7 linked regions of the Ovis aries genome follow. The protein of the gene in region 6 binds, or shares a complex with, the protein of the main gene of each other region. Links are inferred from orthologs where the notes say so. Each region holds a gene or a part of one and is shown on either strand. Other genes may lie near its edges. The genes, in order: ARID2, DPF1, ARID1B, SMARCD3, DPF3, SMARCA4 and SMARCD2.

Region 1 (3,957 bases), on a different chromosome or scaffold from region 6:
ATAATTACAATATGAAAGTATTCCTAGGAGAAAAACTCAGAAAAAGTAATGCTGAATCACAAAATATATTATCTAAACTATAGCGCATGCCAACTAAATAAGAAATGTACTCTGTCAAATAGTCAAAAAAGGGGGAGAATGAAAGAAAATCCCAATTATAGTATTCCATTTTGTAGCATCCCTAATTTTCCTAAATAGATAATAATCCTTTTAAATGTTTTTCAGTCAGTCAAAAATTTCTAAAAACATAAGAATTTCTTAAAAAAAAAAAAAACAATCCTGGACACTTAAGGCACCAACACACTATGCTATGCATAAATATTCTGAAAAACTACTCAGTAACACGGTTCCACATAGAGGTTTCATTTTTTAACAATATCTTCAAGTCAGAATTTAAAAAGGCAAAGGAGTTTCCAAAACAAAGAAAAAATTTCCCAAGGGATACAAAGTTTCATTAACTATCTTGATTCTTTTACTCAGCATCACCTTTCTGCCCCTCTGTGGATATCAAACAATCAATAACAATGTCACAAAAGAATGTTTATCAAGATGGGGGATGGGGTGTCACCTGTAATGATTCTGTATGAAAAATGTAAACAATCCTAAAATAGGTGAGGAAAACTTTCACCTTCTTAGAACCTCCCTTGTGGATATTTAATGTTTCTCAGACTGAAATTAGCAGAAGTTTAGAAACTGATGTGCAAGGTTTGTTTCTTGCTTGGGGCTTTTCTTTTTTCTTTTTGCTAAAGCAAATCTCCCCATAAATCCCTTATTTCCCAACACTGTTGTTAGAGTCACTACTACTCACCGCAAGTAATACTGTTTTAAAGCAAAGGCAGCGTTAGAACAACTTCTGGGAAAGTTGAACTCTTCCACAATTTCTCCCCACTGATTCTTCTCAGAAACCTGTTAAAAACACAGCCACACTTGTCTGAAAGTGCACAATCCAAGAAAACTCAAACCTAACTCTGAATAAATACCCATTCTACAGAGATCTGCAGATCCCTCAGGAATCGGTGGGTGATTCGGCTCGATCCGTAAGAGTAGCTAAGCAAGGGCTGCTTGAATCACTGTGTTTTCACCCGAGAGCCCTGTATTTAATAGCACTTGTTTTGTTTTGGGGGGCGGAAGGGGGGATGTTGGTGGGTTTGTTTTGTTTTTGAAGCCCGGACAATAACCAATCGCAAGTCCCTCTGTCGCCCCCTTTTAAATCTCAACGCGGTCCGTTTACACTAAAAAAAAAAAAGTTCAAAAGGATCAATACTGTTCCGGACAGCGACGTCCGCAGGTTCTGGGGGGGCCCGGGCCGGGGCCGATTCCGATCCCTCTCCCAGATCTATCCATCTCCATAGGCCCTTCTTTGAGGCCTACAGCTTCTGCCTAGCCTTGAAGCCTAAGATGGCTATTTGGAGACAGGTCCTGGTTTCTTTTGTTAGCTGTATAAACCGAGGGCGACGGGGCCGAGGCTGTGCCCCCGGCTGCCGGGATCATTTCGCAGCCGATTATCGATGTTAAACCTGCCCGCGCTAATTTTGAGTTGCACGAAAACTGCTCTCAGAGTCTGTGTGTCTCTGTGTCTCCGCCTGTGCTAGAGCGGCAGCGGCGGCAGAGCTGACTCGCGAGCGAGCGGGCGGGCGGGCGCGGGGCGGGCGCGGGGCTCGGGCGGGCGCCCCGCACGCCCGCACTCCCCGCCGCGGCGCTCAGACCCCGCCGGGCCGGCCGGGCACCGGGCAGGGCGCGAGCCGGCGCCGGGCCGCCCGCCCGCCGAGCCCCGCGCCCGCCGCGCGCACGCGAGCCACCAGGCCAAAAACAGCCCCGCCGCCGTCCGCCTCCGTGCCACCGGCTGGGAGCGAAAAGAACGCCTCTGGCCCCCGCAGGCCACCCCCCCGGCCCCGAGCGCCCACTCCGGGGTCAAAGGAGACTTTTTGGAGGAGGCCAGCGAGAGGGAAATACAAATTAAAACTTCCACTCACCTTCGCGAATCCGCCTAAAGTAGTGACTCTGGTGTAGAGACCGTGAAGATCCAGCTCCTTCCCACCCACCGCAGGGATTTTTTTAAAAGGCGACCTGCGGGAGAGAGAAAGCCCCGCACTTGTCAGCCGGGACCCCGCGGCGGCCCGAGCGGGAGAGCCCCGTTCGCCCCGGCTCGCCCCGGCGCTGCCCCCCCGGTTCTGCTCTCACCCTCTGCTGTGGTGGAACTGCCGCAGCTCGTCCAGGAAAGCGAGTCCCTTTCTCCGCTCGTCCGGAGGCGCCTTCCCCGTCGAGTTTGCCATTATTTTTTCAAAGGAGGTTTTAAAAAAACCCAGATCGGTGTTTTAAAAGCGCCCCCCGCTCCCAGCGCTTCCTACCAGAGCCCAGAGCCCATTCCTCGGCCGGCGGCGGCGGGGCTCAGTCATGGGCCGGCGGTGGCGGCGGCGGCGGCGGCGGCGGCGGCGGCGCAGGGAGGGAGGGAGGGAGGGGGAGGAGGAGGAGGAGGAGGGGAAGGAGGGAGCAGGAGGCCAGGGGGAGAGGAGGGAAGGAGGGAGGGGAATTTCTAAAAAAGTTTAAAGAAATCGGAGCGAAACTAGAGGGGCAGGCGACTGCCGGATCCGCGCGAAGCCGCGGGGCGAGCGCGGCCCCCACCCCTTCCTTCCCTCCCTCCCGCGGCCCGGCTCTCGCCCGCCTCTCAGCGCCGCCGGCTCAGGCGGCTCGGCCCGGGGACGCGATTCAACATGGTGCTGCTGCCGGGGGCGCGCGAGCGGGCGAGGGGAAAGGCGAGCCGACGGTGAGGGGCCGGGGTGGCCGGAGGCCCGGGAGTTTCGGCGGCCGCGGCGGCGGCGGCGGCGGCGGGGCTGGGGCAGGCGGGGCTGGGGGTGGGGAGGGGGAGGTCTGTGTGGTGGTTTGTGGAAAGCGGGGTGACAGCGTGTATTCCGGCCGCAGCTCCGCGGGGCCCTCGCACACATTCACGCGCGGCCTCGCGGCCGGGGCGTCCCCGGGCAGAAGGCACCGGCGGCAGCCGAGCCGCTGCGCGCCGCCCGCCCGCTTCCCTCCCCGCCAGCCTCCCTCTCTGCCGCCTCCAGCGTCGCCGCCACGGCCGGGCAGCCAGAGCCGCACAGCGACCCCCGAGGGCCGGCCGCGGCACTGCGCCTGACTCCACACCGCCCCGGCAGCTCCTCGCGGGGAACAATAGACTCGGCTCGCCGGGCTTAGGGTTCATCTGCAATGTGCCGCACATTTCACACGCACACAAAGCCGGCGGAAAGGGGGGAGGCGCGGGGAAACGGCCACTACCGGTTGTTCCAGGGTTAGGGGTGGAGGCGATGTTCGCGTCCCCGGCCCGGCAGTTGGAAGGGCTGCCTTGGAGTCCCCGCCTGTCCGACAGAACTGGTGTAGAGCTCGGGAGGGAAAGGAAGCCCAGAGGGGAAGCTCCTCACGCTAGCTTCATTCACTGATAGGAATAAAGTCAACCTGTCACCTTTTTTTTTATAAGGTCTAAAAGAATCGGCTTTTCTGAGCTTTGTGGCGATAGTAAGGGGGGGCCTGGTTAGCACATTTTCCATGACTTACCCACAAACTAACTTTAGCAAACTGTAAATTAAATACAATGTGAACTGTCTGTCCTAGTTCTGTGGAAATGGAATCATGCTCTTAATTCATCTTGACTTTTGTTGGTTTCATTTCTCAAACTAGATTATTCTGTGCAGTTATGCAAACAGTAATTAAACTGATTGGGAAGCAATCTTTTGAACTTGGGCGATAATAATTAACGTTTATATTTTTATATTAAGGTCTGTTATAGTTTGCTTAAAACATATTGAATAAAATCTTATGTTTTTGCTTTTTCTCAAATGTCTTAATACGATCCCGGTTTAAAATATTTTTGAAGCTCAAAATAAGAGGCTGTTCAAATGGGAGACGTAACATCTCAACAAATACTACCACAAGTTTATATCTACAAGGGGTGTTGGGGTCAGCCGT
Region 2 (3,500 bases), on a different chromosome or scaffold from region 6:
CCCCAAGCTCTAATTGAAACAATAAATCAGACCCAGAAATATTACGCCCGGCCGGGAGAGAGGGAGAGATGGTTGGTTGCCATGGCAACCCCAGAGCCAGCATCCCCATGGTTGGTGGGGGGAGGGGACCGCTGAGCTGGAGATTTTCCAGAAATGCCTAATGTGCCCCCTCCCTCCCAGGCTCCTTAGCCCCCACTCCCAGGGCCCCTCACCACCCCACGCCCTGCCCGCCTGCTCACGTTTATGGTTGTTTTTCCGGTGGAAGGGCAGGGCGTGGCGTTCGGCGTTCTCCTCCCCCTCCTCCTCAGCCAGGTGGGTGTGGGTGTAGTGGTAGCTGAGCCCTGGCCGATTCTTATACCGTTTCCCACAGACTGGAGAGTGAGCAGGGAGGGCCGGTCAGCCCTCCAGCCCCTGCCGCCTCCACCCTGGCCTCCAGGATCACACCTCCCCCCCTCTGCCAGGGTCCAGAACGGGAGGGAAGGGGGCCAGTGGGGGGCAAGGTCTCTGGGTCCCACTCTCTCTCTCTCTCTTCCCCCCTCTTCAGAAGGACTCACTATCACAGACATACGGCTTGTCTCGGTCCTCCAGGGAAGCGGTGTCCTGGCGTTTCCGGAGCCCCCCGATGCCGTATGCCTGAGGGGAAAGTCAGGAGTGAGGGGCCAAGAAAGGGAAGGAACTAAAAGAATTTTCACCATTTGGACTTGAAAGCCCAATCACAGCTCTGCCACTTCCTAGCTGTGAGTCTAGAGTAACTCTCTTGACCTCTCAGAGGTTCCATTTTCTCATCTGTGCCACGTGTAGGAAGATAGCTCTAACCCCCTGTACAATCTCTGTTTTGCAAATGGCTTAATATGCCCAAGTCTCAATTTCCTCATCTATAAAATGGGTATAAAAATCCCCTACCCCTTCAAGCTGCTCTGAGAGTTAAATAAGGTAAAATTGGGGCAGGGTCTGAACACTGCATAAGCAATCAATGGAACCTGCCTTGAGGGGAAGGGTGATGGGGGGAGGTTTGGGAGTAATACCTTTCCTTTGGCCCTGTTCTTCCTCCTGGGCATGTCATCCTCTGGGTCTTCCACTTCAAGATCATGCGGAAACTCCAACAGTTGCTGTTTCTGGGCACCAGGAGAAGGGAGACTGGGGTCAAGAAACGGGGTATTGTTCTGCTTTGGGAGGTAGTTCTGGACACAGCAAAGATCAGGGGTGGCAGGGCAAGTTAGGAGGTCTTCCCAAAAAGAGATGAAGTGTGGAGGGATGGAGACAGGATGCTCAAAGGTCCTAGGGAATCAGGGGAGATTTCAGAGCAGGAGCAAGATGGGCCAGGACACAGGCCGGTTGAGAGGGCAGCCACAGCCCCTGGATGGGTGGGGGGCTGGGCAGTCCTACCTGACAGTCCATAATGGTCTCCTCCTCCTTCAGCTCTATCTTCTTCTCCCCTGTCTCGGCACACAGGAGAGCCTCAAGGACTGGCCCCTCGGGGAGGCCACCCTCCTTCTTCAGTGGCGCTTCACAGTCTGGGGACAAGACCACGGTAGGTAGAAGGGGGGTCAGGTGAAGAACTTGTCCCTGGAGGACTCCTCAGACTGCCCAGGTTGGGGAATCATGCTCTTTTCTGGAGGAAAGAGGCTTTCCCACACTCAACCAGCAACAGACTCAAATACTCAACCATCCATACCACCCTCATTACTTCCACACATCCTAAGGATGCCCAGACCCTGGAGAAGACACAGTCAGACCATCAGAGACCATTGGACATACTCAGGAGAAACATGGCTGGACCCTCCTATATAACTACATAATACAAGTAGGAGACCCCACCCAGACCCCCACAACTGGAGAGAAGAGACATTCAAACAGGACATACATGGACATACACAAGGGAGATACAGACAGATCATCTGAGACAGCCAGAAACACAAGGGAAGAGGTACACCCAGACACTCAGATACACCCAGACTCACGGAGGAGACATAGCCAAACCCTTGGGCACACTCAGAGACACTCCAAAAGAGAACATTAGACCATCAGATAAACCCAGACCACATGGGGAAAACACAACCAAACCCTACCAAACACCTGAACATACTTAGGGGAGAGACACCAGAGAATCACTCAGATGGATACTCATACACACAGGTGATACAGACAGTCCCTCTGGGACAATCAGACACACCCAGGAAGACAGAGCCAGATGGACACGCCAGTACACCTGCCTGGACCTACACAGATCCTTGGTTATACCTGAGCAAGGGAAGAGAAACAGCCAGTGACTCTATCAGTGCTGGACACATTTGAGACGTGATAAAGCCAGGCACTCATGGCGCAGCAGACACGGGCAGAAACACACCTGACACTCCAAACAGACACTCAGGGACGAGACTCTCCCAGACATTCCAGAGCATCTGGTACTCAAAGGAAGAGAGACACTCAGGAACAGATAGACCAGACACACTTAAGAGGAAATAAGCCTGGAAACACCTGAAAAGAGACACAGACACCAAGACACGCTGTACTACAAATGGAAAAAGTTACAACCAGACACTCTGACACACCCAGACACACACTCAGACATCCACAGGAAAGAACAGGCAGATACTCTGATACATCCCAACTCACAAGGGAAGAGATATACAAGGATGGGATACACCTGGACACGCAAAACAGATACCACGCTCTGCCCAGGAATACCCCTGGGTCCAAGTAGAAGACGCAGTTCAAAATACTCGGGGAAAACTGGAGAGTGTCTGTACTACCCCCAGACACACACCAGCATACACAGCCCGTCACTCAGACGTGGGCCGGGAGGGTGATAAAGGCAGATGCTCAGAGGCACAAGGGCATCAACACGCTGATCAGCCAGTGGTGTGGGCACCCACCGGGGCCACCCCAGGCACAGGACGGAGCCCCACCTACCGATCTTGTACTCGCAGGGCCGGAGTCTGGGGTCTTCCAGGATGTTGAGCCTCCGTTTCTTTCTCCAACAGCGGGCCGGGTACGTATAGATCTGTCCGGGGGCCAAACCTGGAGTAAGAAGGGCGGTAAGAACGCGGCTGGGAAGCCGCCACCCCGCCCCACCCCCGCCCTCCCGGCCGGTACCCGGGCCGCGGTGGGTCTTCTCCATCCAGATGTAGCAGTTGTTCTGGGCCACGCCGGTCTGCGAGTCGAGGAAGGGCAGGCGCAGGCTGCGCTCGGCGCACAGGCGCGCGTTGTAGCTGCGGCAGTGCTCGATGGCCTCGCGGTAGAAGTCCTCGCCTAGGCTGCGAGGGGCGGGTAAGCGGGCGGGCGGCTGTCAGCAAGGGCAGGAGCACCCGGTCGCCCAGCACCCCTCCCCCAGCCCACCCGTCGGGAATGGGTGGGCCGATTCCTCCAACCTCACCTCTCCCCTCCGGTCGGGACCCAGGAGCCCCCAACCCGGGACTCAAGCGGGCCTCGAGCCAAGGAGTGGATACAATATAGGAACAGATAAAGATACACCAGGACACATCCATTCAGGCACATAT
Region 3 (3,500 bases), on a different chromosome or scaffold from region 6:
CCCGGAGCCGGCGATTTATCTCTGAGCAAAGGTGCTCTTGCTCACCCCCATCTCACTCTTATTTTTTTTATAAAAGGGTGTCTAAAAACTAATTTAAAAAGCAATAACAGAATTATTTTGCAATTTAAGTATCTGAGCCTTAATAAGAAAAACAATGTCTCCTTCCAACAGCCACAAGCTTCCAGAAAGATGAGCCTCATAATTTCTGTTCATGCCCAGTCTTTCACGTGAGGCTTTCTTGTAGTGTTGGGTGAAGGAGGCCCCAACCAAATGAGCCCAACCTAACAGTCCAGCAGAAGTCATCAACCCTGTCTGAGCTGTGGAGCCACCAGCTAGCTGACATGGCAGCACCAGTGGGCTTCGGAAGGGGCACATAGGACCATCCAGTGTTCCCACTTGCACTCAGGCTGGAGGGAATACAACTGCAAAAAGAGAAGAAAGGAAGGGAATCCTCAAATGTTATATAAAATTTGAGCAATTGGTTTAACTTTCTGATTCCCAATGGGAACAGGTCACACGAGGCTGACACACGAAGGAAACATGAAGGCCTGCAAATGCTTGGGGAATATTTTGCCTTTAGATGTGTCCTGTATTAAGTAGCATGAGTTAAAGGGACAGTGAGTTTGAATGAAATGTTCAATTTTTGGATTCAAACTTCCTCACAAAGCTCTTTATGTCCATTTACTTAGTATTAAATGGTGCGTGAGAAACCAGAGAATACTCTCGAGAATGCTTAGTGCCATTTTTGGTACTGAATGCCAGGCTGCAACGGGCAGGCCTGTGACTGCTTCTGAAATCACAGGCAGAGTGCTGCCTGGGACACCCTGAAAAGCAAGGCTTTTAGCTGATCCCTCTGGGGCTGCAGCACCTGTTTGAACCACATCTGATGGGGTGTGAGTGACAATGCGGCCAAGGCCTCACCGCTGGGAATCACTACTACATTCAAGCAACTTCATCAGCTAAGACCCAACCTGGGAGTCCACTTGGCTGAGTGAGGTGTCCTGATGGTTCCTTGCTTCTGTGAGCTGGGTGAAACCCTTCGCTGGCCATCACCCACACCTGGTCACACCTGGTCTGCATCCTGTGACCCCATCTGATTACGCCTTCTGGAGTCAAGCTCTAATTGCTTTACTTGGAGGCCTCAGTCTCGGGTAGGAGGAGGCTCCTCAGGGAGGGCTGAGAACAAAAGCCTCTCCTGCAAGCCCTGCAGCCCAGATACCAGGGTGGGTCCTCAGTGATACCTGTGCATCAGCTGACCTACCTTTGGATAGTGAGGCCTGGAACACCTGAGGCCCGGAGCAGCTCCTTTCACTAGTCTGGGAAGGAGCCCAGGAACTGACAGGTTTTAAATGCTCCCAGGTGCTGCTAATGAACAGCTAGGTCGGAGAACCAAGGGCAGATAAAGGGCATGCGCTTCGCAATCAAACAAACTTGGCCCCACCACCTACCCTGAGAGTCCCTGGGCCACAACATTCTTGTACAGTCGGCCTTCCCTGTTCCCTGGTTCTGTATTTCTGAATTCAACGAATTGTGAATTGAAAGTACTGAAAAAGAAAAAAAAAGCCCCCCCCCCCACCTCGCCCAAAAGAAAGTTCCAAAAAGCAAAACTTGAACTTGTACCAGCAACTGTTTACATAGCATTACACTGTATTGGGTATTATAAGTAACTGAGAGATGATCTGAAGTATATGGGAGGTGGTGTGTAGGTTCCAGAAATAAAGAGGCTCGAGCTCACAGGGTTTCAGTATTTGTGGGGATCCTGGAACCAGTGCTCTGTGGACCCCAGGGGACGACTGTACTTCAATCTGTTACATCTCTTCTTCAGGGCTGATGACTCTGCATTCCATGGGTGTTGAGAGAGAAGTGACAAGAAAAAGGATGGTGCCCAGGATGCGGCAGGCACTCACCCTTGAAGGCCCTTTTCTCCATGCTACTTCGGGATATGGACACACAAACCCTTCCCAGGGCTAAAAACAGGGCTGTGACAGGGAAAGGAGAATGCGGCCCCTAGGGTACAGAATGAAGGGGCAAGTGCAGGAGAGGCATCTGCACTACCCCATAGGAGTGCCTCCGGGCACTCTGCACCTGGGTGCCCCCAGCTGTGGGAAAGGACAGCATTGCCCCTCCTGTCATCCAGGTACAGCGGACATGGTTGTAGAAGGATGACAGTTTTCTTGTTAACTTGCTCTGGATAGAGGGAAACAGTGAATTTGATTTATATCTGATCCAGACAATTTAGTCATTTGCAAAACATTTCTGTTTACTATGAAATTCTAACACAGATTCCACAGAATTCTAGAGCTGTTAGGGACCCTAAAGCAAAACCTAGCTCAAATGTCTCATTTTACCGTTGAGGATTGAGTCCACATAAATGACCTACTGAAGTCACTCTGCGAATGGGTGGCAGATCGAGGTCCCTGACCCCAGGGCAGCCCCCGCCCCCGACCTGCCACACGTGAACATGGATCCAGTGAAGTGACCTTCCCAGAGGCTCAGCTTTTTCTTTGTGAGAAAAAAAAATTCAAGTTTGCATATTCAAAGCTCATCCATAGCATCTCCTCATTCATCTTTTCTCACCTGTGCCAAACCTCCGATCTCTTTGACGCAGACATAGAGTCGGAACAGGTCCAAGGGCTTCTTGCCCACCGCAGGCAGACTTGAGACCGGGGAGCCCCTCTCCTCCATGAAGGTGAGGTAGCGGTCCACCCACAGCTTCCTCTCTGGCTCATTCCCCAGCTCATACACCTTTGTGATCTTTTCCCCAGTGGTGGTGGATGAGCTGGACTTCTAGAGCCCAGGGTAGCATTTGGAGATGGGGCATAAGTGGGCCAAGGGAAATGGAAGAAGGCGAGAAAAAAAGTAATGAGCTACCAAATACAAGAAGAGAAGAAATTTTAAAACTACTGCTATCACACAACAATCAGGAATGAAGGCTACTAGTTCAGGCACAAAGTATACATTTGCTTAATTAAAAATTTACTTTAACTAAAGGGCCCAAACTCCCCCTTTTATATACTTGAAAAACAAAAACAGAATAAAAATCTTTTTTACTTTATCAATATAAGCGTTGAATCCCAGAAGGCAAGACTCCAATGACCTCTCATGTCATTTTTTCTTTTTTTTTCAAAAAGGGTACAAGTTCATTGAATGGCTACACTGAGTTTAAAGTTCCAACTGTAATATTATAGAGCCCCCCTCCTCATTACATAGATGCCTACATTTCCTTGTCAAAATATAAATGACCAATGTATGGCTTTATTAAAACTAAATCATATGGAGGTAGAGCACATACATGATGTGTGTTGAAAAATACAAGGTTGGTCACACGTCATTGGACCCAGCGGTGTGTGCACTTTACATTTGAGAGCCTTCTAAATTAATGGCCAGTTACTAGCATTCTCTCAGAATGATCCGCTTTCTTGACTTAAGATTTCTTGAACTTTTCTGCCAAGGTAATTTTAATAGATTTCTTAAGCAAACATGTGTTCATCACAAACACA
Region 4 (3,947 bases), on a different chromosome or scaffold from region 6:
CCCTACCCCTGCTTACTTTGGGGTCCAGAGATTGGCCCTACCATACCCAGCGCCCCAGCTCCTGCGGGTCCCCCGCCCCCACCCCCAGCCCATTCCAAAGCCGTCAGGTCGCGCTGGCCTCCGCCTCGCCACCCATCCGTCCACCCCAGTTCCTTGCCTGCCCCCACGCTTCCCTTCCCGTTCTCACGAGCCTGGCCCACCTCCCTCTCTCCGAAATTTCCCCTACTGCCTCGACTTTGTCACAGAGAGACAAAGACTCACATAGCCCGAAATAGACACCCCGAGCGGGGAGACACAGACCGTGTCCAGCCACACACGCACCCGCGCCCGCCCGCGCGCGCGCGCGTACCGGAGGCTGCGGTGGAGGGAGGCACACAGAGGAGGCATTTATCTGTGCACGCACGTAAACATCCACACCCACGGCCGCCGGCCGTGCCCACACCAGGGTGCAGACACACTCAGCGGTGAGACAAGGGCGCACACATCTATGGACTGCAGGGCACACCGCCTCCGGGGCACACCCACCACGGCCGCCCGGTGCCGGAGAAAGGCCTCCTCCGGGCTCGACTCCCGCCCCCCGCCACCACCACCCCCTCCACCCACCCCGGATTCCTTCCCAGCGAAATGTTTCCCTACTTGGCCTGCCAGGTCTCTGGGGAAAAGGGCCTCAGAAATGCGGCAGGAGCCACTTGGGGGCAAAGTTGGAACGGCCTGTTCCCGGCCTGTTCCCTGCCGGCGAATTCCCTAAGCGAAAAACTATTTGCGGCGAGAGAGGCCGGGTGGCCGGCGAGCCCCCCGGCCGCCTCCCCTCGCGTCCCCTCCCCGCGCCGCCGCCGCTGCCGCCGCCTCCCCGCGGCCCTCGGGCGGCCTCGGGCAGGCGGCGCCGCTGCCCAGCGGCCCGGAGCCGCGCTGGCCGGCGAGCCTCGCCGCTTATCTGCGCTGTTTGGGCCCGGCGAAGCTTGGGAAAGGCAGGCTTCTCCGTCCCCGCCGAGTCAACAGGCGGACCCCGGGCCGCCGGACTATTTCTGTCTTATCAGTGCAGGAATGCGGCAGCCGCGGCGGCTGGCGGGCGGCGGCGGCGGCGGCGGCGTGGGCCGTGGGCCGTCAGGGCAGCCCTGAAGGGGCCCCCTCCCCACTCCGCTCGAGTAGAAGTGTGAGAGAGCCCAGCAGGACTCAGAGGGGAGAGTTGGAGGAAAAAAAAAAAAAAAAGGCAGAAAAGGGAAAGAAAGAGCAAGAGAGAGAGAGAGAGAGTGAGAGGCGCCGCTGAGCCCACCCCGATGGCCGCGGACGAAGTTGCCGGAGGGGCGCGCAAAGCCACGAAAAGCAAACTTTTTGAGTTTCTGGTCCATGGGGTGGTGAGTGGGGGAAAAGTTAGCGGGGGAGGGCGAGCGAGCTGGCTCGGGCTGAATGGAGGGAAGGTCGGGAGGGGCCGGGAGGGGGCTCCCGCTCCCCCCACACCCCACCCCACGCCTCTAGCGGGAGCGCCGCGGCCCAGCGGGCCCGGCCCCAGCCCCGTGCCGGCGCGCCCTGGGGGCGCCCGAACACGTCGTCAGGCGGCTTGGCCGGGGATGGGTGCCCCGGGGCGGGGAAGGCAGGCGTTTGCATGGGTTCCTGTCAGGGGCTTGGGGGTAGAACTTGGGGACGGTCTCCCCCAAAGTGGGTGGGTGGGTCCCCTGTGGGGACAACCCGATGGGTTGTCTTCCCTTCTTTCCCTGGTGGAGCCCAGGTGCGACCCCTGCCCTGGGAGTGGGGGGTGGGGGGACTTGGCATCGCTGCGCTGGGCTGCTTGTTCATCAGCTGGGACAGTGTCTCGGGAGCAAGGAGCAGGTGACCCTGGCGGCGCTGTGAGTGGGAAGCTCTGGGGCTGAACCACCTTTGCATCCTGGGCTGAGGGCTCCGGGGCTCTGCCCCTGGCCTCTGCCAATCAGGGCCAGAGAGAGGCCCTCTCTAGGGGCAGACCCCAGGTTAAGGGGTCTGAGGATCCTTTGGCAGCCTCCACCACCAGAAGCTGATGTCCTTAACACCTCAAAGGTGTGAAGGAAGAGCTGGAGTCAGGGACGGGAGGCCTGGAGACCAGAGGGGCAGGTTTAGAAGGCCCACTGGGAGCCTGAGTGAGCCCAGGGAGCCTGAGGGGGTGGGGACGGGTTGGAAGGGCTGTGGCATAGGAGAGGCAGAGGCTCCAGGACTTGGGACGGCCACTGGTGCTGAAGCCGGGCAGAAAGGAAGCAGTCGGGTTTACTATGGCCAAATTTGGTTGTGACCCCAAGGAAGACACGTTCTCAGTAAGAGAGGCCAGAGCCCCTAAAATGTTGGCCCTTTGGGCAGGTCACCCATCCCCGCTGGCCAGCACAGCCTTCTAGGGGCTCTGGAGGCCTCCCTCTTGGGGCCTCCTTAGCAGATCAGTGAGTACCACCAGCCTCATTAAATGGGAGAGCAGCTGATGAGGAAAGGGGCTTTCCCAAAGCAGCCTGTTCTCCAGGCCCATGGGTCCCTAGGCTAACTTCCAAGGGGTCCCCATGTTGGTTAGCCTCATGACCAGCCCTGATCTTGCTGCCTGGGGTGTCCCAATAAAAGGCCCATCTAGGAGTGAGAGAGTGTATACATGTGGATTTTTTTTTAAGTCAACTCACTGCTTCAGTTCTTGGGTGGCCTGAGCCCCACTCCCAGCGCCCTGTCTGTGCTGGCAGGGAGTGGCGGGCCTGGGCTCCATTATGGGCCACCACCCTGGAGGTGTGAGTGACAGGGTCAGGTGGGGTGGGGGAGGCAGACACATGGACAGGCAGGTCTCACTGCTGAGGCTGTGACAGGCAGAGACAGCTGGTTGGCTGGGGGTTAGGGTTAGACACGGCGCGGGCAGGAGGGACCCGGGGGAGGGGGGCAGTGCGAGGAGATTCACTAGGCTCAGGGGCAGGGCGCTTCCCTGTTCTGGGAGCAGCTGCACCCCTGGGGTGGAGTGGGTGGTGCTCAGATAGTATAACAGGGGCACAGGGTCTGTGACCGTGGCTCCCTGATCTCCTTCCTGCTCTCCTGGCCCCCGTCCACATCCTGGCCACCCTCCGCTTGACAGCCCCTTGGGCCCTCCCCAGCCTCTCTTCTGGAATGGGACAAGTGAGGTTTTACGAGTCTGTGGAACACTTCACTCGATGCACTGGGTTGTCATCTGTATCCCAGTTGAGCACCCGGGTAGCAGCAAGGGCGCACACCTGCCTCACCTGCCTCCCCGTGCCCCCTGGGAACCCAGACTTCTGACCTCACTGGGGTAGGGTGGGGAGTAGTTGTAGTCTGTAGGATGGGGCCATCTCTGGTGATTCAGGCAGACAGGAAGGGAGAGATAGATATAAGAGAAAATGTCCATCCTTTTGACCTACCCAAGCCCTCTGGACCACCCATCACCAGTCAAGCCTCATAGCCCCCCTCCCCTCAATGGGAGAATCCTGGTGAGGTCTGACCTCAGCCCCTCAAGCTGCTTCTAGCCCTACCTCCAAGCCTTCACCTTGAGAGTAAATTATGCAGGTGGGCTAATTCAGCCAAGCCCCTGACGGTAGAGGCTGGGAATCAGAGCAAGGGGGCAGGGATTGGGACGGAGGGGCAAAAGCAGGGCCCCAGAGAGGAAAGTGGGTTGAAGGCAGGGAAGGCAGGGAAGGCAGGACCCCCTGGAAATGGACTGGGAAGCAGGCAAACGGGAAGGCAGACGGCAGAAGTCCGGAGCAAGAGAGCCAGCCCTGAACTAAACGAAAGCAGCAGAGAGGGCACAAACCCCGGGCCCCTCAGGAAAGGGCCTTGCATGACCTTGGCTAGGTTGCCTCTCTCCTTGAGCCGCGGTTGCCTCATCCGTCAAGTGGGGATAGAAGGCCCTCAGTCTGTCTTGCAGAGGAGCGTGTGGATAGGAGCATCCTTTGAAAAGGTTGAAAGGCGCCATTAATATTCATCTTCGCGGCACCTTCCGC
Region 5 (4,156 bases), on a different chromosome or scaffold from region 6:
GCAGCTCTAGTAACACCTCCCATTTGTACTTTACACTTTCTGAAGTGTTTTCACATCCATTGTTTCATTTGGGCCCTTCAGGGGGTGGTAAGCAGGGCTTAGCGCAGGGAAGGGAGGCCAAATGAGATGCATGCCCTTCTCCCCTTATGAAAAGATAGGTCAGATTTACTACCTCCTGACCTTCAAGCTGTCCTGTCATCCCAGGTGTTTCCAGCAGGAACACCTGCTGCCTGATGAGACCTCCACTGCCTGGGAAACCTTCGCTCCAGCCCCACCAGGTGACAACTAGTGCTGCAGCCTCTGGGGCCTCCCCATATCCAGACCCTGACCCCAAGGGAGTCCCTGCCCTCAACGGGTTGGGGGTGGGGGGGTGGTGACAAGATGAAGGCAATCCTCTGGCTGGGGATAAAAGAAGTGAGTCTCTGAGTTCCTGGGGCATTTATCCTCCACCCCCAAAATAGTGGTAGTCCTAAAGTGGGAGGCAGGTAAAGAGGTTGAATTCTATGATGCCATGAGTATTTTTTTTAAGTTTAGAAGAAAGGAGTTGCCTATACTATCTAGAAATGTACTCCATGAATCTTAGTGAGTCTAAAAATGAAGGGGGGGTCTAGGCATATACCCCAAAGAACTGAGAGCAGGGATTCAAACAGCTACTTACACACCCATGTTCATAGCAGTACTATTCACAATCGCCACAAGGTGGAAACAACCCCAGGACCCATCCCTGGATGCATGGATAAGCAAAATAAGGCATATATATACAGTGGACTATTACTCAGCCATAAAAAGGAAGGAAGTCCTGACACATGCTGTAACACAGATGAGCATTAAGAACACTATACTAAGTGCAATAAGCCAGTCACGAAAGGACAGATATTGTATGATTCCACTCATATGAGGTGCTTAGAACAGGCAAATTCATACAGACAGAAAGTACAATGGTGGTTACCACACTGGGATGGGGTGGGAGGAGGATGTCCTCATTAAAACAGAGGATGTTATTGTTTAATGGATATAGAGTGTGTTTAGGATGACTTTTTAAATTCTGGAAATGAATACAGAATATTCTGGTAGTTATACAACACTATGAATGTACTTAATGCCAGTGAACTGAACACTTTAAAAAAGGCTAAAATGGTATGTCTACATGTCATACATGCTAAATATACATGTTATGTATTGATACATCTTACCACAAGTACAAAAAAATTTAAGGGACTGCCTCTGTAGGCTGGAGGTCAAGGAGACCATTTTGTTTTTTCTTTCATTTTGCCTAATTCTCACAATTCAGGCTTCTGTGAATGTTCTGATGGTTTTAACAACCCCCTCTTCCTCCTTTAGACATGTAGAAAATTGCCAAGGGAGCTAGCTGTCAACCAAAGGAAAGCCTGATAATAATGCCTCCAGAGGAATCTGGCATGTTCTGGAGGCATATCACTGAATGAGAGGCAGTGAATTCCACTTTAGACACTGCTAATACTCACCTGCGTAAGGCCAGACTCTGTGTCTACTGAACACCTCCATTTCCTCAGCAGCATCACGGGGTGCAACAGAGGAAGCTCACTGAGACATCAGTACAGGCCCACCCACTGCAGTTCACTGAATGGTAGGGCATTTGCAACTGCCCAAATGGAAATGAAGTAAGCATTTATTTCCATGTTAACTGGGATGGGTGCCATGTTAGAAGAACAGTAGATTGAAGGAGACTGTAGATAAATGAAATCCAGAGAAGAAAATCTTTTGCTCGGTTCCCTTTCTTCCACCATACATTTACACAAAACAGGAAGAAAAAGAGAGATGTTCTCAATAATTCTAGTCTTTTGCACAACCAAAAACATAATCTGAGTGCTTGTAAACAGAAAAAAATAGGCCAATTAATCTTCTCATTTCTCTTTCCCGTCTTCATCCCCTGGTTGGAGTGTTAATGAGGAGAAAAGTGTTCAAAAGGGAGCATCAGAAGAAAAGACCACGTTCTCAGTGGGCCACCACCTGGCCCTCAGCCTTGGGCGCTGAGAAGAGAGAGATCAGAGCCCAGTGGCAACAGAAGGTGGCAAGACAGGAACCAGAGAAGATGAAACTACAGGAGAGCCTACCAGTCTTAACTCCCTTTTAGAGCCACACTTAAAAAATGAGGAGGAATTCAAACACTGGTCCCTAACTGTCCTCCTCATCCTTCCTAATCCACCATAGTCAAGAGGCCCCAGTTTTTTACTGGAAAGGAATTTGGCAATCAAGGTGCATCACCCTCACCTTTAAGACAAGGAATATGTGGCTCAGAGAAGTTCTGGGTCTAAGGTCTCATAGCTGGTGAGCAGTAGGGCTGAAAACTGAGCTCAAATCTCCGGGATCCTCTCCCTGAAGCTTTTACTTCTGAAGCTACAAAAGCATAGTCACTGGTGAGAAAGTATAAGAGGGATGGAGTTTGACATAAGGACATAGGGATGACTGGTGAAAGTTTGAGAACTGAAAAACCTTTTCTGGTGGAGCTTCCAGTTGAAGTTAATACCACAGCAGATTTTTGAAGTGAATATTCAACAATGAGAAAAACTCACTCATTTCATAGCAACCTAAGATGACAGCAAGCTCTGGACTCGAGGAGGGAGGAGAGGGTGCAAAGGGGGATTAGACACGTATCATCATTGTTCCTTGGACTCAGAACTAAGTCCTGGAGGTGAAGGTCTCAACGTGGGCTATTTGAACCCTATTATTAGGAGCTCCTGCCCCTCCCTGCTTTCAAACACAGCCCCCTAAATCTTAGCCTGCTTTCCTTGTAACCCCCCACCTACTACTACTATTCACAAACACACAACCTAGACATTTCCAGCATAGGTTGCTCCTCTTCTCCCCTCCCCTGACCCAAACACCTCCTAGCCACTGCTTTTAAAACTCTGATGCAAATCACAGGCTTCAAAAACCTTCCTTCAGTGACAGTTTTATGATGCTAGCTCCATTCATCCATATGGGTTGACAGACTGTGAAACACTAGTAACCGGACCAATAAGAAAAACAGATTACAAAAACACCACAACACCTCATCTCTCCCCAGTTGCTCACACAACTAAAGAAAACTTTGGAACTTGCAATAGATCATAACATCAGTCTCTCTTGCTGTTAAACAATCATCTTCTCAGAGTTCCAGACCACACAGTAGTTTTATCCACTTACCTATCCCCTCCGTATCCCCTCTCCCCAGGCCACTTCTTTATCTTTCCTTGTTAAATACCTACATGTTTAAAGATTATTTAATGCTAGGGTCATGCTTACATAGGCCCCTGCTGGAAAACCATGGCTGGGCAAAAACTGTTTCAGTGGTTGTGGCATTTCAGGGGCTTGCCACATTGGGCTACATTTGTCTTCTAGTGACTTTCAGAACACTCAGAAACCACAAAAGTTACTTTGCAGAGGTTGGGATAATAGACAGGCCTGAATTCTGATGCTTTTCATGACCCACACCCAGCACCACTACAATCAGGATGGCTGTACTTTCAAAACTGAAACATTAGCCTCAGTTTCTTTTCCTTTTCTGGTGCAAGCTCAAAACAAAGCTTGGTTGACCATGGCATTTTATTTTCTGCACTGATCTGAGCAGATGGCTCTGGAACAGCTTTAGACATTATGGTGTTTCTCAGATGTACCTAAATTTCAGCCACCTGCATGGTTCCAAAAAGACAAAGGAGGATGAGAAGTCTCCAATTAAGTTGCCTCTGAATTCCAGGCCACTTTCTAGAACTAAGCAACTCCCATTCAACTGGAGACCTCTGAATGTCTCCCAGGTGGTCTGCAACCGCAGCAGTTCTCTGTGGCGATGCCTCCATTTGGGTTCTGGCAGAAATTAATAACCTTTATGGGTATCTCATCAAAACCAGACATGCTTCCCACTGAAAAATAATGTGTGCTAATGAAGTTTAGAGAATTTAAGGCTTCCCCCCGCCCTCACCCCAGTGGCAACCAGAAGCAGATGGAGAAGGTGGTTCTTAGGCATCTGTTGGCTTAAAATGTCTGAGGGTCCTTTTTCATAAGGGGCTAAAATAATGTCCATAAAAAGCTGAAAGCTCACAAATCCCAACCCCAGTTTTCCCCATTTAGTACCTACCCAAATCCCCCACCCCAACAGAAAGAGCCAGAAGCAGATTAGAACCAGGAATGTGTCCCCTCT
Region 6 (3,520 bases):
ATGAACATAAAATCTTAAGGGAGACACAAGAACTACAGAAGAGGACCTAAAGTAAGCTCTGGACTTGGAAGCTCTCGCTTATCACCTGGTTCCCACAACGCCCTGGCTTCCCATGTCAGGACTTAGACTGCTAACAGGCACCTCCTGTTGACCTGTCTTCCTGACCCCACCATGGCGGCAAAGGGGCAGGGACTGATCAGTGCTCTCTGCATGACATGGTGGGCTTAAACGAATGAGGGGAATGGTGGTGGTAAGAGACCCAGAGCGAGCCCAGGCTGCTAGTCAAGATGGTGTGACATCCGCGCAAGGCTTCCCTTTGCTTGGGCCTCAGTGTCCTCCCCTGGGAGACGGGCCCCCTGGGACCTGGCGCCAGGAGGACAGGGCCGCAGACACAGTGAGGCCCCACCCAAGGCCCCAGGGCCTTGCACCGCTCGGGCGGGTGGCTGCAGACACTCACCCCATGCCAGGGGCCGGGAATGCACCCAGCAGAAGCCAAGACGTTTGTTGGAGGTTTAATTTATTACTGCTTGACATCCAGTGACACTGACATGCCCTCGCCGGGCCTGCAGACCCCAGCCCCGGCGAGTCTGACCTGTCCGATAAAATACAGTACAAGGAGTGGACGGCTACACGCATGCATCCACAGCTTTAAACTACAGTGATTCCAAACTGCGGCTGCAACAGTACTGCCAGGGAGAGGGAAGAAAGACAGGTGTCGTGTGTTCCCCAATTCATAATTCGTTTTTTTTCTCCTTTTTTCTCGTTTTAAACAGTTAATGCTGTTACAAACGCTATTGATGCCAGGACAGGGCCAGACACAGACAGTCCTACATCTTCTCTGCCGTATAAATATGGAAGATTTTCGTTTATACAGTTTTTATCCCAAGTCTGAAACTACATCTGCTGCTACCCGTTACTGCTAAGGGCTAACACCGTCTCGGCTCTGGAACGAGGGGCTCGGGGTCGAGACTCTGGAATGTCGGGACTCAGTCTTCCTCGCTGCCACTTCCTGAGCGGTCCTGGGAGGGGGACAGGAGGAGAGAGTGAGAGTCAGCCTGGCCCTTGGGAGCACCCAGACAGCATGTGGGATCTTAGTCCCCTGAGCAGGGATTGAACCTGTGCCCCTCTGCAGTGGAAGTGCAGAGTTTTAACCACTAGACCACCAGGGAAGTCCCCGACCTTTGCTTTAAATATACTTAATCACCAGTGCAGGCAGAACTGCCTTGTCCACTCTGAGGTTGGGGGTGGGGTGGGGTGACCTTTGCCCTCAGTCCCTGCAGCTAAGGTCACACCCAAATGTCATTTTCTCCCAAGGACTGGTCCCTGCACCCTCACATCGACTCCTTCTTGGTTCCTGGGAAGCAGGTTGGGCCTTCTCGGCTCTGTCCCATTGCTGTCTGTGCCCCTGACCTGTAGGGGGATTTTTGTTTGTTTTTGTGGCTGAGCCTCGAGGTCTGTGGTATTTGTTTCCTGACCAGGTATTAAACCCAAGCCCTCAGCCGTGAAAATGCTGAGTCTTAACCACTGGATCACCAGGGAATTCCCCTGACCTGAGCTTTAAAACCACCTTGGCTATTCCTGACCACGTACAATCTCTGCTCCTCTGTGTAAACATTTTCAACACCTTAGCAAGGGCCACAGAAGGTGCTGCTGGACCCAGACTGGGCAGACAGGGAGCTGTACAGCCCAGACTCTCCTGGCCACAAACAAGGCCACCGCTCCCCATGTTCAGAATGTGACTAATGTCCCCATAAGACCACAGACGTCAGCAGTCAGGATTATTCTGAGGCACCTGGTTTTGCTGTTACTGCAAATAGCTCTACAAGAAGACTAACGATGATGAAATGGTACTTATCAAGCTTTCTGCTGGGAGCCGGGGCCCGTGAAATGCACTTGACCTCCGTGCTTTGTGGAAGTGGAGGCAGGCTCAGAGGTCAAGCAAACAGCCCAGGTCCTGCAGCAGGGAAGGGCCAGGCGTCCAGGTGGGAGCCAGAGGGCAAAACTTATTAAAATGCAGCAAGCGAGTCTGTTCCTACCCCCAGGCCCACGAGACTGTACGGGCTCACTGCTCCTGCGGTTCTCGTGGCTCCTCCCTGGTGTGCCTGGGGGACCATCACTGAGGTACCACTCACAGCCCCGTTCATATGACTGTGGTCTATGGGACTTTCACTTTCGGTTTGCTTTTTCAACCCACTACCACGGTCCGGAAACCCGCTGAGACAGGCCAGGACGGAGCCACAAGTAGAGGCCTGGGGAGCACAGGGTGGTGAGGATACCACAGCACTGGGGGAGCGGGGACCGTCTCTCTGAGGGCATCTCCAGCTCCCTGCCTCCCGCCCCCTGCGGTCGGCCTGGGGCTGTGCAGTAGGAACTGTGTGGGTCGGGTGGGGAGGAGGGATGCCCTGTCTGAACCCCAGATGCCCAGTGGCTCCAAGAGCACTGGTTCCAGGGCTGCATGGACTTGGGTTTGAGTCCCACGCTCTGTAACACTGAGCCTTGTCTGTGCATTGGGGGTCTGAAAACATCCCACAGGTCTAGGACCTGGCAAGAGGAATGGACGCCCAGTGACCCGCCCGCCCTGGGGCGCAGGGACCTCACCTCTTCCTGCTCCTCCTCGCTGTCGTCGTCGCTCACCACTGGCTTGGCCCTGGACCCGCGGCTCGGCCGCCGCCGGCCCCCCTTGAGCCGATCCTGGGCCTTCTCCTTCCGGCCGAGCTTGATCTTCACTTTGACTGAGCGAGCTGGGGAGGGGACCACAAGGAAAGGAGACGTGAGCGCGGGGCCCCAGGGTGTCTTGGGGTGGATGTGACCTCCTGCCCCCACCCCCAGGACTCACACTCTGACTCAGAGCCTTCCTCCTCGCCCTCCTCCTCCTCCTCGCTCTCCTCCCCTTCACTGTCGTCCTCCTTCTCAATTTTCTGCCGCACGCTGGTGAAGACCGACTGCAGGACGATGGAGTCTTCATAGATCTGGGTGGAGACACACGGGGCTCGGGTCGGGGGCCCGATGAGGGGCTGCCTGCCCGCCCGCCTGGTCCCAGACAAGGGACAGCTCAATGAAACGGTCCTGGACAGAAGGTCAGGCGTTCCTCTTTTTTTTTTTTTTTAAAGTATTTATTTATTTGGCTGCGCTGGGTCATAGTCGTGGCGCGCAAACTCTCAGTTGTGGCATGTGGGATTTAGTTTCCTGACCAAGGATAGAACCTGGGTTCCCTGCACTGGGAGCATAGAGTCTTAGCCACTGGACCACCAGGGAAGTCCCCCTCCCTCCCCGTGAAGAATCGCAGCGAGCACCCAGTTAAAGGCTCTGAGAGGGCCTGCAGTTTAGCGTCGGAGACGCACGGCCTCGTTGAAGCTAGCATTCCCTGGCATGTGCGACTCTCTTTGCCAGGAGGCATTCATCCCAGCAATGAGGAAAACTGCCATGCTGAGCCTGTGTGTGTGAATCTCACCACAGGACAGGACCCAGCACAGAGCTGGACGTCCTTTGAAAAGCACCCCTGAATGACTCTGTAACAGAT
Region 7 (3,373 bases), on a different chromosome or scaffold from region 6:
CCCGGGGGATCAACCTGAGAAAAATTGCTGAGCTCATGCCGGGAGCGTCAGGGGCTGAAGTGAAGGTAACAGGAGTGCCCAAGGGAAAGGGGGCAGAGGCAGGAAGCACTGGGTTCAGGGCACAGCGGCATCTCCCCCTTCTTTCCCTGCTCAGGGCGTGTGCACCGAGGCTGGCATGTATGCACTGCGGGAGCGCCGAGTGCACGTCACGCAGGAGGACTTCGAGATGGCAGTAGCTAAGGTACAGGGCCACGCCTTTCTGCCTTTGCTGGTGGTGACTCGAGCAGTGGGGTCGGGCACGTGTTCACTGGGTCTCTAACTCAAATGTTCTCTCTCCAGGTCATGCAAAAGGACAGTGAGAAAAACATGTCCATCAAGAAACTATGGAAGTGAGGCAGACGTCCTTTGTGTGGATCCCTCAAATAAAGCTCTACCGGTCAGGACCTTGAGGACTCGAGTCTGTTAATCAGCAGCTGCACTGTTCAATCACCAGGTCTAGGTACCACCAATAAACAAAGATTTATTTGGAAATTTCCAAACCTGCCAGAAGTGGCGTTTGCCAAGCCCTCGGCCCACCCTCCTTAACAGGCTCCAAAGAGCAACAATAGTCCTCCCCATCTCCCACTGCCCTCCACCGAGCACACACACACCCACGCCTCAGGCCACGCCAGAGAATTAGGGTGCCCTCTCCCTAGGAGGCGTTACCCTGGGCCCAAGAACTGGGGTGACAGCCCTCTGGCATCGCAGGAGATGATGGCGGCCAGAGCCGCTTGCATAGATTGAGAAAAGAAAATAAGGGACCCCCCAAGTAGGGCTCCCTGAAAACCCCCAACACACCCCCATAAAAAAAGTGGCTCCCGCATAGAAAATCCTGCTCCACAAATAGTGCAAATAACCCGAAGGAAAGGAAATTACCAGCAGCAAGGCTGGGCTGGTAGGAATGGCAAAGAACTTTGGTTTGGAAAGGCTAGGAAGAAAGGGAGCCATGCTCCTCTTCCTCACCCCGCTCCCTGGAGCCAGCGTGGACACTCGCCCCAAGGGGGTCTGTAAACAAGCAAAGCCAGGGGCCTCTGGTTCCAAAAGGTCTCGGTTAAAATGTCAAAGCAGAGCCTCCAGGTCCTTCTCAGGCCTGCCTGCAGGGGGCACAGGAGGCCTCTCGTGAACCCAGTTAAAGCCAATGTGTAAGTAAGAAGGCTTTGGAGGACCAAGCAACAAGGAATCCTATCACTACACTTAAGAAACTAAAGCCGGGGAGCCGAGGGTAACTGGAGATGCCCCTCACCCCCTCGTTATCCTACGTGTCTGCGCCCCAGAGGGTGGTCCCCTTCCAGGCTGAGGGCGTGGCTCCAGGCTGGGAAGAAAGGAAGGGGTCCCTGAGCAGTTAGGTCAGGCGGATTCCCAGCACCTGTTCCAGTTCCTGCCTTCGCTGCTGCACCTGGAGCAGGGACAGACCAGCGGCTCAGGCCCGGCTGCCCACCCTGCCCTCCGGTATGCCCTCCAGGCCAGCCAGGGCAGAGCCGCCTCACCTTGGCAAAGATGTGCCTCCCTACTGCTTCCTGGGCCCAGGGCTGGTGGTAGAAAGCTGCTCGTCTCTCCTCCTCCGGGTTCCCAGTCACATCAGTGATGATCTGTAGAGCACCAGGAGCAGAGCTGAACGCAATTCCCACCCCTGAGCCAGAAGAACGGTGCTGGGGACAGAACCCCCAGAGCTTAACGTGGGATCACCCTCAGGAAAAAGGGGCACACCTTGAGGTCCCGGCGCTGGGAACGGAGCCACTCCTGGATGAAGTCCTGGGGGTCAGTGCTAAAACTGAGCATGAAATCCCTCTGGGTCTTCAGCTGGTTGATGGACTCAATAGTCTCGTGGATCTGGGCAAAGGGGTACGTGTCAGACTGGCTCCCACCCCGACAAGGTCTGCTTCCAGCCCCAACCCGAAAGGACTCAGGTCCCATCCCAAGGTGCTATATAAATGGAAATGCCCGACACCTGCCCATGCTCACTGGGGGCCCAGAGGAGGTTGGGGCCCACCTTGACATCAAGGGAGGCGATCTCCTGCTGATTGGTGGTAGAGGCCAGAAAATTGCTCATCTGGGCCTTGAGCGGGTCATCCACCTCCACGTCAATGTCGTAACAGGCTGTCTTCTTCTGGTCGTTAGGGTCCACGCTACACGGCACACGGGAGAGAGCTACTTCCCTCCCGCCCGCCCGGGGCAAGACCACACACACCCAGGGAGCAAGAAACCAAACGTGCTGCTTTGCTTTGGCTTTAATTGAAGTCAAAGGCAAACCCCTGAGAGCAGCGTTCCTCCCCCTTCCCGTTTACCTGATGACGTGGTTGATGACAATCGGGTCTGGATGCTGCAGCAACCCTGCCAGCTTCATGGGAATCTCAGAGAAACGTAGTCGGCCACAGCTGAAGATCTGGGGAGGGCGCCAGAGGGTCGGTGACGCCCTGGTGGGCACATGGGGAAGTGGCCCGTCCCGGGGCGGTGTGGCGCCACAGGCAAGGCGGGCGGGGGCTGGAAGGGGAGGGGGCGGTGTGCCCGCTTACCTGGCGGAAGTAGCGGTTGCAGTTGATGTACTCGCGCTCGTGGCCGTCCTGCAGCTGGTTGTGTTTGATGTAGAGCCACAGGGCCTGCATGATGGCAGCCCTCGTCTGCGTGTGCACCCCCAGCAGCCTCGCCAGGCGGGGGTCCAGCTTGTACTGTGGGGGCTGGCATGGACAGACGGGAGTCAGAGGAGGGAAAAAAAAACCCAAAGCAGGCTAGGGCAGGGACAGGAAGGGTTTCCAATGGGCACCTGCCCCCGCCCCAGATGACAGTCCCCGTGAGCCCAGACGTGGCCTCAGGGCACTCGTCACCTGATGATCCAGCATGAGCAGGAGGGTGCACTTGACGTTCAGGTCTCCAGGCCGTTTCACCTGGAAGCCGTCTGTCTCCTGGGTGGTGGGCATCCGGTGCCACTGGCAGGAGGAAGGGGAGTCAAGCTCATCACCAAAGGGGCGGGCAACATACGCACCTGGCCCTGCAAGGGGACTGAGGCCATTCCTCTGCCCGCCGGGCACGGCACCCTGTGGTCCCAAGCCCCAGGCCCGCTCTCACCTCTACCAGGTGGTTGTCTGGCCCATACAGTTCCTTGTCCAGCTCGATGACGAGGCTCTTAAAGAAGGAAGAAAACTTCCGCTTCTGTTTACTAGGCTGGGGATGTAAAGGGGGTGAGACAGGGGTGCCATTGAAGGTTCAAGCCTAAGCCACATACTAAGCCCCGAACAGAGGAATATTGTTTCAGTCCTAAAGCTCAGGGTACTGAGGATTCTCAGGCCCTGAAAGAAGCAGGGAAAAGTGAGACCTGAGGCACAGAAAGGGTCCCTAG

The links.
Region 1: SMARCA4 (region 6) and ARID2 share a complex: the UniProt entries of both Homo sapiens proteins name them as parts of the SWI/SNF-B (PBAF) chromatin remodeling complex. The link is inferred for Ovis aries from reciprocal best matches to the Homo sapiens genes SMARCA4 and ARID2.
Region 2: SMARCA4 (region 6) and DPF1 share a complex: the UniProt entries of both Homo sapiens proteins name them as parts of the neuron-specific chromatin remodeling complex. The link is inferred for Ovis aries from reciprocal best matches to the Homo sapiens genes SMARCA4 and DPF1.
Region 3: SMARCA4 (region 6) and ARID1B share a complex: the UniProt entries of both Homo sapiens proteins name them as parts of the neuron-specific chromatin remodeling complex. The link is inferred for Ovis aries from reciprocal best matches to the Homo sapiens genes SMARCA4 and ARID1B.
Region 4: SMARCA4 (region 6) and SMARCD3 share a complex: the UniProt entries of both Homo sapiens proteins name them as parts of the BAF complex. The link is inferred for Ovis aries from reciprocal best matches to the Homo sapiens genes SMARCA4 and SMARCD3.
Region 5: SMARCA4 (region 6) and DPF3 share a complex: the UniProt entries of both Homo sapiens proteins name them as parts of the BAF complex. The link is inferred for Ovis aries from reciprocal best matches to the Homo sapiens genes SMARCA4 and DPF3.
Region 7: SMARCA4 (region 6) and SMARCD2 share a complex: the UniProt entries of both Homo sapiens proteins name them as parts of the BAF complex. The link is inferred for Ovis aries from reciprocal best matches to the Homo sapiens genes SMARCA4 and SMARCD2.

Annotation. Positions count from the first base shown.
Region 1 is NC_056056.1:140,791,306-140,795,262, forward strand, and holds the start of ARID2 (AT-rich interactive domain-containing protein 2), read right to left. Parts: upstream 2,801-3,957; 5' UTR 2,274-2,800; coding exon 2,182-2,273; intron 2,068-2,181; coding exon 1,974-2,067; intron 907-1,973; coding exon 809-906; intron 1-808. UniProt on the Homo sapiens protein: Involved in transcriptional activation and repression of select genes by chromatin remodeling (alteration of DNA-nucleosome topology). Required for the stability of the SWI/SNF chromatin remodeling complex SWI/SNF-B (PBAF).
Region 2 is NC_056067.1:47,409,509-47,413,008, forward strand, and holds part of DPF1 (zinc finger protein neuro-d4), read right to left. Parts: intron 3,258-3,500; coding exon 3,097-3,257; intron 3,022-3,096; coding exon 2,914-3,021; intron 1,515-2,913; coding exon 1,387-1,514; intron 1,116-1,386; coding exon 1,026-1,115; intron 634-1,025; coding exon 555-633; intron 372-554; coding exon 240-371; intron 1-239. UniProt on the Homo sapiens protein: May have an important role in developing neurons by participating in regulation of cell survival, possibly as a neurospecific transcription factor. Belongs to the neuron-specific chromatin remodeling complex (nBAF complex).
Region 3 is NC_056061.1:81,557,612-81,561,111, reverse strand, and holds part of ARID1B (AT-rich interactive domain-containing protein 1B), read right to left. Parts: intron 2,788-3,500; coding exon 2,578-2,787; intron 1-2,577. UniProt on the Homo sapiens protein: Involved in transcriptional activation and repression of select genes by chromatin remodeling (alteration of DNA-nucleosome topology).
Region 4 is NC_056057.1:115,438,143-115,442,089, reverse strand, and holds the start of SMARCD3 (SWI/SNF-related matrix-associated actin-dependent regulator of chromatin subfamily D member 3), read left to right. Parts: upstream 1-1,147; 5' UTR 1,148-1,277; coding exon 1,278-1,355; intron 1,356-3,947. UniProt on the Homo sapiens protein: Involved in transcriptional activation and repression of select genes by chromatin remodeling (alteration of DNA-nucleosome topology).
Region 5 is NC_056060.1:82,481,867-82,486,022, forward strand, and holds the start of DPF3 (zinc finger protein DPF3), read right to left. Parts: upstream 2,801-4,156; 5' UTR 1-2,800. UniProt on the Homo sapiens protein: Belongs to the neuron-specific chromatin remodeling complex (nBAF complex).
Region 6 is NC_056058.1:13,343,839-13,347,358, reverse strand, and holds the end of SMARCA4 (transcription activator BRG1), read right to left. Parts: intron 2,970-3,520; coding exon 2,837-2,969; intron 2,742-2,836; coding exon 2,599-2,741; intron 1,020-2,598; coding exon 987-1,019; 3' UTR 501-986; downstream 1-500. UniProt on the Homo sapiens protein: ATPase involved in transcriptional activation and repression of select genes by chromatin remodeling (alteration of DNA-nucleosome topology).
Region 7 is NC_056064.1:47,807,701-47,811,073, forward strand, and holds the end of SMARCD2 (SWI/SNF-related matrix-associated actin-dependent regulator of chromatin subfamily D member 2), read right to left. Parts: intron 3,199-3,373; coding exon 3,103-3,198; intron 2,964-3,102; coding exon 2,862-2,963; intron 2,715-2,861; coding exon 2,553-2,714; intron 2,423-2,552; coding exon 2,325-2,422; intron 2,166-2,324; coding exon 2,030-2,165; intron 1,870-2,029; coding exon 1,747-1,869; intron 1,629-1,746; coding exon 1,527-1,628; intron 1,436-1,526; coding exon 1,382-1,435; 3' UTR 501-1,381; downstream 1-500. Other genes in the region: PSMC5 (26S proteasome regulatory subunit 8), read left to right, coding at 1-65, 155-241, 340-393. UniProt on the Homo sapiens protein: Involved in transcriptional activation and repression of select genes by chromatin remodeling (alteration of DNA-nucleosome topology).